Arabidopsis thaliana: one gene and its partner. The protein of the gene in region 1 purifies or fractionates together with the protein of each later gene. This does not show direct contact. Each region holds a gene or a part of one and is shown in the gene's direction. Other genes may lie near its edges.

Evidence for each region. The genes of interacting proteins can lie anywhere in the genome.
Region 2: the proteins of AT3G57000 (region 1) and MTSSB fractionate together in Arabidopsis thaliana (co-fractionation; one large-scale study listed by BioGRID). This does not show direct contact.

Annotation. Positions count from the first base shown.
Region 1 is NC_003074.8:21,090,348-21,094,799, forward strand, and holds AT3G57000 (nucleolar essential protein-like protein), read left to right. Parts: upstream 1-1,835; 5' UTR 1,836-2,020; intron 2,021-2,246; 5' UTR 2,247-2,262; coding exon 2,263-2,583; intron 2,584-2,666; coding exon 2,667-2,759; intron 2,760-2,842; coding exon 2,843-2,987; intron 2,988-3,083; coding exon 3,084-3,197; intron 3,198-3,293; coding exon 3,294-3,379; intron 3,380-3,520; coding exon 3,521-3,578; intron 3,579-3,682; coding exon 3,683-3,762; 3' UTR 3,763-3,950; downstream 3,951-4,452. Other genes in the region: EDA7 (embryo sac development arrest 7), read right to left, coding at 34-86, 191-259, 374-494, 613-671, 766-856, 922-1,022, 1,118-1,209, 1,300-1,398 and 1 more.
Region 2 is NC_003075.7:6,753,974-6,758,154, reverse strand, and holds MTSSB (mitochondrially targeted single-stranded DNA binding protein), read left to right. Parts: upstream 1-1,559; 5' UTR 1,560-1,760; intron 1,761-1,897; 5' UTR 1,898-1,924; coding exon 1,925-1,985; intron 1,986-2,072; coding exon 2,073-2,230; intron 2,231-2,486; coding exon 2,487-2,695; intron 2,696-2,998; coding exon 2,999-3,099; intron 3,100-3,171; coding exon 3,172-3,231; intron 3,232-3,318; coding exon 3,319-3,335; 3' UTR 3,336-3,640; downstream 3,641-4,181. UniProt on the Arabidopsis thaliana protein: Binds to ss-DNA.

The DNA of each region.
Region 1 (4,452 bases):
ATTTTGAGTTAATACAAACACAGTAAGACTTACATGTGATCCTTCACTCTTATGGGAGTTGAAGTACGCAAGTCGTATATGAATACCTGCAGATACCGAACAGCACAATCAACACAACATATCTATATAATCAAATTGACCTACCAATGTTTTAAACCTTTCAGATAAAAAAATGAATATAGCATCAAACCTTTCCCGCGCTACTCCCGACAGCTACTTGAAGACCTTCACTGTCATCAAACTCTATAGCAGTAACCTCCTATTAGCCAATTTAAAGCACAAGATCATCAGAAATCAATGCAATTTTCACCAATCACATGACGTCTAAGCTAAGAAAGTCTGTTTATTTGGAACACAAGTTAGAAAAAATTACCGCAGCAGCATCACCACCATGTGTGACCGCGTTAATTCTAGCAGCAGATGATTTCATTCTCATATCAAAAAATTCCACAGCACCATCCTCACCACCACAAGCAACTAATCCATGGAGGTTGCTGGAAAGAAAATAGTGCTCAAATGTAAGCAATAATAATCTAGAGTACCAGAATCGAATTTTCTCCTAGATGAAATCAAGAAACATAATAGAAAGAAAAGACAGTTCGGTATACAGACCTTCGAGAAACGACATTAAGCGCTGGGGATTGAGTGCTGAGAGGAGAAAGAAATCTTCCCTAAACAGAAAGAAGGCAAAAAACACAAATCATTCTCTAACAAAGACTGAGATAGGTCACAACACTAAACTATTATAAATTCACTGGAAAGTACCTGCTCCAAATTGATTCTATATAGATCAGGTGAGGAAGCAGCGCAAAGAAGATCACAAGACCAGGAATCATATGTCATATCTCTCCCCATCCTGCAAATATGTGAATGCTTTAGACCACGAAAGATATATCTCATAGACCAACAAAGCTAAAGTACCTTGGAATTCGTAAAGTGTGGTGTTTCCCGTATTTGGCGTGTAAATTAATAGAACGATCAGCACATAAGAAGGCAAGCTTTGAGAAGTCATCATCCAATATCTGTAGAGCCAACAAAACACAATACTAAAAAACCAGAAACAAGATAGTTACTATCAATGGTGTTAAGACACATCTCATGGAGCAATAAAAGGTACCTCGAAATCAACTATTTCCGAGTCCAAATGCCTCTCAAACTTCAAAGCAAGCTGATTTAGCTCATAAACTTTTACCTGTGGTGGATATATGCCTAATTCAACAAAAACGAAATCAGTGAAAAGTCACAAGAGAACATTATTTCTTGTCAATAGCATCGAAGTTACAAAGAAAGAAAACGCACCTGAAGCAATCAGATACTCTCCGTCTGGAGTCGCTTTGATTCTAGTAGTGGCAGTCTCAAACTTCAACTCCTGAATCAGCTCCACTCTTTGCATATAATCTTACATCGAAGACAGAAAAAAAGGACGAGCCTTTAAGAGACAGGGTTTATGAAGGGGTTAACGATTCAGAGCTGAGACAGAAACAAGAGGTGAAACTTACGAGGGTTTTTGCGGAGAGCTCGTTGCTTCTTAGGATTAAGCCAAGTAGGAACATTGGGAGCAGAAGAAACATTGTATAACTTAACTCCATTAATGGAGGTCGACTTCAGTCTATCTCCATAAGACGTCATCTTCAAGCAGTTAAGAACAGGAACCCCTAATTCTTCTACCCTTGACGGCGAGTTGCAGAGAAAACGCAAAAATTGAAGCCAAAAATAAAAATGAAAAGAAACACCACTTGTAATACATAAGGCGGTCGTGCTCTCCGGCAGAACAAAAGTCGACGTCGATGGTCACAATTCTAGGTTTCTTGGTCTCTTTTTCTTTTTCTGGGCCTTTTAAAAACCCTAAAACTTAATGGGCCTATTTTACTACAATAAGCCCTTAAACGATTATATAATCTGTGTGAAACAATACAAAAAACAAAAAATAAAAAAACGCCTACCTTTAACTTCGAATTAGGGTTTATCAGGATTCAGTCGCCTGCTCACTTGAATTTCTTCGCAAGCTCAAAAAGTTCCGGTAAGCGATTATTTTCTCTTTTAGCTGTCTTTCATAAAAGGGTTCGATTTAATTTCGAATTTAAGCTCTACTGAACTGTGATTGATTGAGTTGATTCTCTGTAGTAGCGATAACCTTAAAGAAATTTGATTAGTTTTTGTATGAATTCATCGACACTGTAGTATATTTCTTTAGCATCTGATTCTTTAGCTCTGTGGTGTTGTGATTGACTTAAATTTGTGTGTAGAAATTTTTGAAGGAAGATGGTGAGGCCGTATGGGATTAAAGTGAACAAGAGAAAGGAGAGAGAAGAGAGGTATGATAAGGAAGAAGATGAAGTAGAGGAGCAACCAAAGTTTGAGCAAAAACAAAAGGCAAGAGAAAGTTCGAAGAAAGCTAAAAAAGAAAGCACTTCAAGAGCAGAGGAAGATAATGACGAGGAGGAAGTAACTGTGGAAGCAACTGCAGCAGCAGAGGATATTGTGGGAGGGATACCTATTGTCCTTAATGCTCCTAACAAGGAAAAGTCTGGCATTGTATTCGTGCTTGAGAAGGCCTCTCTTGAAGTTGCCAAAGTTGGAAAGGTAATCTGCAGGAATGTTTGCATTACAGTAAGCCTCGGAGTTTGTTTATGGTACTAATATATGTGATTACTGATTGTGTGCAGACTTACCAGCTACTGAACTCGGATGATCATGCTAATTTCTTGAAAAAGAATAACAGAAATCCGGCTGATTACCGACCAGACATTACTCATCAGGTCAGGGTCTTAAAAACTGTTATGTCATATCTAGGTAGCTTATAACAAATTGTGACTCATCTTTAGTGGATCTCCCTCTTCAGGCGCTTCTTATGATTTTGGATAGTCCGGTTAATAAAGCTGGGAGGTTGAAAGCTGTTTATGTTAGAACAGAAAAAGGTGTCCTTTTTGAAGTTAAGCCACATGTTCGTATACCAAGAACTTTCAAACGATTTGCCGGAATCATGTGTTAGTTGTCCAACTTTCCTCTCATCCTTTCTGATATTTTGTTACTTTAACCTCCTCAGTTTTTACTGTCTCTTATCCTATTTGTTGGTCTTGCAGTGCAACTGCTACAAAAGCTGAGCATTACTGCAGTTAACAGCCGTGAGAAGCTTCTACGGTGTGTCAAGAACCCTATCGAAGAACATCATCTACCGGTTAACTCCCACAGAATAGGTAAAAACAAAAAAAAAACTTTAGTTTCCTCCTACATTTTGTTGTTTATCCAGATTATGTGAGCTAAAAAGAGGGATTGTCTCTTTCTTATATCAGGCTTCTCGCATAGCTCTGAGAAACTCGTCAATATGCAGAAACACCTAGCTACTGTATGTGATGATGATAGAGACACAGTTTTTGTGGTTAGTGCTCTCCAAATGTTTCTCTCTAGTCTCTAGCTTCTTCACAAAGTCCATTTAATTTACGTAGTAATAGGCTTTAGCTTGCAACCTCCATATATCGGTCTTATGCAAACCCACACCTTATTTGTCTCACCATTTCAGGTAGGCGCAATGGCACACGGGAAAATAGACTGCAACTATATCGATGAATTTGTGTCGGGTAAATCTTCTTCCTTCATTCATACTTTTGTTAAGGGAAAACAAAAAAAAAGTTTTTAAATGAAGGAAACAAAAAATCTGAAAGAAGTTTCTTGATTTATGCAGTTTCAGAGTATCCATTGAGCGCAGCCTACTGTATCTCAAGAATCTGCGAGGCATTAGCAACAAATTGGAATATTATATAAAAGAATGATTATAAGGTCCTTTGTTTTCCTCTCTACTGCTCTAATGGTAGGAACTACTTTAAGCTATGTTGTTGTGATACACATTGTTTATCTACTATCGAGTTTATAACTTTTCGTTTGAAATTTTGACTCCACTATTTTATTCAAACGTAATATAAAGTAAAAGAAAGAGATGTTCCTGTGATTAAGAATCAAAAAATATACTTAGGTAGTAGGGGAACTACCTTAAATTATCTGTAAAAAATATTTTGAGTGTAAAATATGACTATAGCAGAACCAAAAAAAACTGTATATTTTCGTTTATTTCTCTCTACGAAAAATTTGATTTCCACTTGAACCTCGAAAACAACCAAAATTAGCTCTTGACCCTCGCTCAATCTCACGGCCATGCCGTCCTATTTGTACTTGGACCAGAAGAATTGGATCTTGGTCCAGTCCACGGACAAGGTAGGTAATCACAGTTTCGGCTTAAACGACGCCGTTTGTGAAAAGATTTCGTTGGAAGTCCTCACTTATTTACTTTGTACTTTAACAGCTTGTCAATCAGATATTCTTGTAAAATAATTATTAATCATTTTGATTTTGATTTGAAGTCCAAATAATTGCCAAATTGAATTAAACGAGAAAATAATTAAACTGTTACACTTTAAATTAAAAACAATTCAGTTGATACGTTTTTTAGTTCTCTTT
Region 2 (4,181 bases), on another chromosome or scaffold:
ATCCGTTTTCATTACTAAGTCCACGTACCTACGTGTTGTGTAAAGTTAAATACGTTAATGTGACATTGTGATGCATTAGTGTATACTTAAACTATAAACAAATATTTAGAGTCTTAAAAATCTTATCTTATTATATAAAGTATGGTTTTCAAAGTTTCTAACTCATAGGATCGTGTCCACGTGTCAAGTCAAACGATCAGATGTTTACATGTGTCATTTAAAATTTAACTTTTTTATTCTCTTAAAAAAATAGAAAATCTTAAAAAGTAAACAAATTTACATATGCTAATTAAGTTACTAACTCATAGAATCGTGCCACGTGTCAAGTCAAACGATCAGATGTTTACATTTGTCATTCAAAATTTAATTTTTTTATTCTCTTAAAAAAAATAGAATCTTATTATATAAAAATTAAGATACAAAAATTTAACTTTTTTATTCTCTTAAATTCAGCATCTGCTATTTAGGCGGGTCTAAGATACAAAAATTAAGTTTTATCGATAGAAATTTGTATAATAATCAATATATTTTTCTTGATATTTAATTTAATAATTATTGGTTTAAACAAAATTTCAGTCTTATCCATTCTATTTTAATTATACACACTCAATCTTATGAATGATATTTGAATTCTAAAAAGTAACCGATCATCATTCTATATTTAATTTAATATCTAGAAAAGAAAAAGAAAAAATAAATTTATATCTTACACATTCAATTTTGTAATACAGTTTAACTATCTATGTCATCATAATAAACTCGATTTAAATTCTACACACTTCATATTGAATGATAACATTTTCATATCAAAATAATATTTATGACATATCAAATCTATATCCTATTTAGTATTAAAAATAATTAAAAATTAACAAAACATAATTAATAGGCCTAGGCATAATACCCCAACCCTAAGAACCGATCCGAACCCGAACCCAAAATTTTCAAAGACCCGAGCGGTTCTGAACTTCAAAACCCAAAAAACCCGAACCTGAATAGGTATCCAAACATATCTCATATATAAGTATATATTAGTTATATTTATACTTGTATACAGAAAATATTAGGATTTTTTCGGATATTTTAATTATTTTTGTTTATTTTTAGATATATTCAAGCAAAACTACTCGTGTTGTTTTGGAAATATTTTAAAATTTTCAAGTAATTTAATAGATTTGCACACAAAATTTGATATTTTAATATATAAATAAACTCGAACCCTAACCCGACCTGAAATCTTAAATTACCCAAACGGGTCCTAAACTTCTAAACTCAAACCCAAAATAGCCGACCTGAACCTGACTCGAATACCAAAACGCTTAGGGCTAATACTTAATTAAAAAAATAAAAATCCACAAAAATATTTAAAACTAAACATTGTTAAAAATATATTTTTTATATATACGGTAATCTCTTAAGTTAATCTTACATCATACAAATTAATATCAAATGAGTTAAAATTAATAAATGAAAATATTCTCATTAAAAAAAATTGAAAAGTTAAATCCTATACGGGCCATGTCATCTCATTTCATTAATTCGTTAACGAAGGGTAATTTGGTAAGATCACATAGCACAACCTAAGGTTGCCGTCGTCGTCCTCTACCTCCGAAATGTTTCCCGTTCACATCGTTTTCGTTTTGTCCCCAAAACCCTAAAAATCTTCAACGCAGGGTTTAACGAATCAAACCTCAACGACGTCGTTTTACTCTTCTTCTTCTTCCTCTCTGTGTTGCGTTCCCTCTTTCACAAACTCACTGGTAAGCCATTTCCCTCTTACATCGGAATCCTGCTTTCGCATTTCTCAGCTTCGTCGTGATTTAATCGTAATTGGTTCAAATTTGTTGTAAACAACCCTAATTTCGAGGAATCATTTGCAATTCCCTCATTTTTGCAGACATCACATCCTTAGAGTCGTCCCAGAATGAACTCACTCGCCATTAGAGTCTCCAAGGTTCTCAGATCCTCTTCAATATCTCCTTTAGGTAATTCTTCTTTCTTATCACCTAAATCTTCTGCCTTTTTCTCAGAAGACTATCATTTGTTTCTTCTTGTGTTACTTTGATGTGTAGCAATAAGTGCTGAGAGAGGCTCTAAGTCGTGGTTCTCTACTGGTCCTATCGATGAAGGTGTAGAAGAAGATTTTGAAGAAAATGTTACAGAAAGGCCTGAGCTTCAACCTCATGGAGTTGATCCTCGTAAAGGTTGGGGATTTCGCGGTGTTCATAGGGTAAAAAGATTTGATCTTTAACACTTAAAAGTTATGCATTCTTAGCTGAAGAATATCAGAATCAAATTAGGCTTAGCTATAGCAAAAAACCCGATTGAAAAGGAACGGTTTTTATGTATGTGCCTTGAATAAGAGTTTGGAACTAGATTTCGATGATTTGAGTTATCTTGTTGCAATATCATTTCATATACTTATCAGCTTTTCAATGGCGTTCTTGCGGTTTTATGTCATTGTTGGTTTCCTTTGATTCATTCAGGCGATTATTTGTGGGAAAGTAGGGCAAGCACCGTTACAGAAGATCTTAAGGAACGGGCGGACAGTAACGATCTTTACAGTAGGAACAGGTGGGATGTTTGATCAGAGGCTTGTAGGAGCTACTAATCAGCCAAAACCAGCTCAGTGGCATAGAATCGCTGTGCACAACGAAGTGCTTGGCTCTTACGCTGTCCAAAAACTCGCTAAAAAGTAAGTTTTATTATATGCTTAACTATCTTGAACAAAGAAGAGTATTAACAATAGTTTAAGAGTTATAATTTCAGATTAACTAAGTGATAAATCCGTTGGTTAAGATATAATCAGCTCATATGTGTGTGAATGTGTAAAAGTGTACACAGAAACTCTTAAGTTGAATAATATCTTCTACATTATCTGTCTTCAATCTCTCTGTTTCGTCTTTAGTCGCTCTATGTAATGCTGGTAGCAATGTCTAAATAGGAAGTGAAAGGTGTAGGTTTTCATCTAAACTTCTTTGCTGGTGCTTTGTTACAGCTCGTCGGTTTATGTGGAAGGTGATATTGAGACTAGAGTGTATAATGATAGCATCAGCAGTGAAGTGAAGAGTATCCCTGAGATTTGCGTTCGTCGTGATGGTATGTATGTTCATATTGTTGATCCGGAACATCAATTTGTTGCTGAGTTACGATTCTCTTGCTTTGTTTTAGGTAAGATTCGGATGATCAAATATGGTGAAAGCATTAGCAAAATCTCTTTTGATGAGCTAAGTAAGTTATCATTTTTCATTCAGCTAATATTCGCAAAGAAAAAAGAGATAGTTGCTTGTGTTTTAATATTTGTTTCACATTTGGCAGAAGAAGGATTGATTTAGTCGGAGCAAGAATATTCCGGTGACCGGATGAGAGCAAACTGAATAAAACGTTTTTCTGAGTAAAATCGATAAAACAGTTTGGTTTTTTGTTCTGTCCATTGCGACTTTGTGAGCACTGAGTTCCTTTTAATGGATACCAGGGGGCATATTTATGTAGTTTCTGGTCAGAATTATTTGATGTATTGTTCTTCAGTGGATGTTTATATGGCAAAAAATGAGGAAGAACAAAGACGAAAAACAAAAGTGCTCACATTACGAATTGGGCTAAAAGACCCACACAAAATGAGACGAAGTGATATATAAAGACTTGGATTTCAATTTTAATGAGAAATATTTTACTCATCAAAATTGAAAGAAATATTCAGTAATAGCTTAAATGATATGACATTGTTTATTAGATTGTTGATATCTCTGACTCACACTCTAAGAACGATAACAAGGAGATCGCGAACTCTCAGAACATCAGAGCATAATTTCCCCGATAAGAATAGAGTTAGTATTTATAGAAGAAGAGCATTATTATATTGTTTAATACTTATTTACAATTACTTACCTTAGATACAAAAACAAAAATATTTTGTTATCTTTTAAATAAACAAAAAAAGTAGTGCTGATTTAGTATCTTATATTTGCTTTCAACTAATATTTTATAAAATATTAGTATATGAAAACATGAAATAAATTCTAATATCATATTATTCATTTTTTGTACTTTAATAGAATCAATAGTTAAATTAAATTTGTTGATTTTATGATTTTATGTTTATGCATAAGTTTATACAACTTATTCAACTAAATTTAAATAAGTTAATTTATATATGAGATGGATATAGTTTGTAACTAATG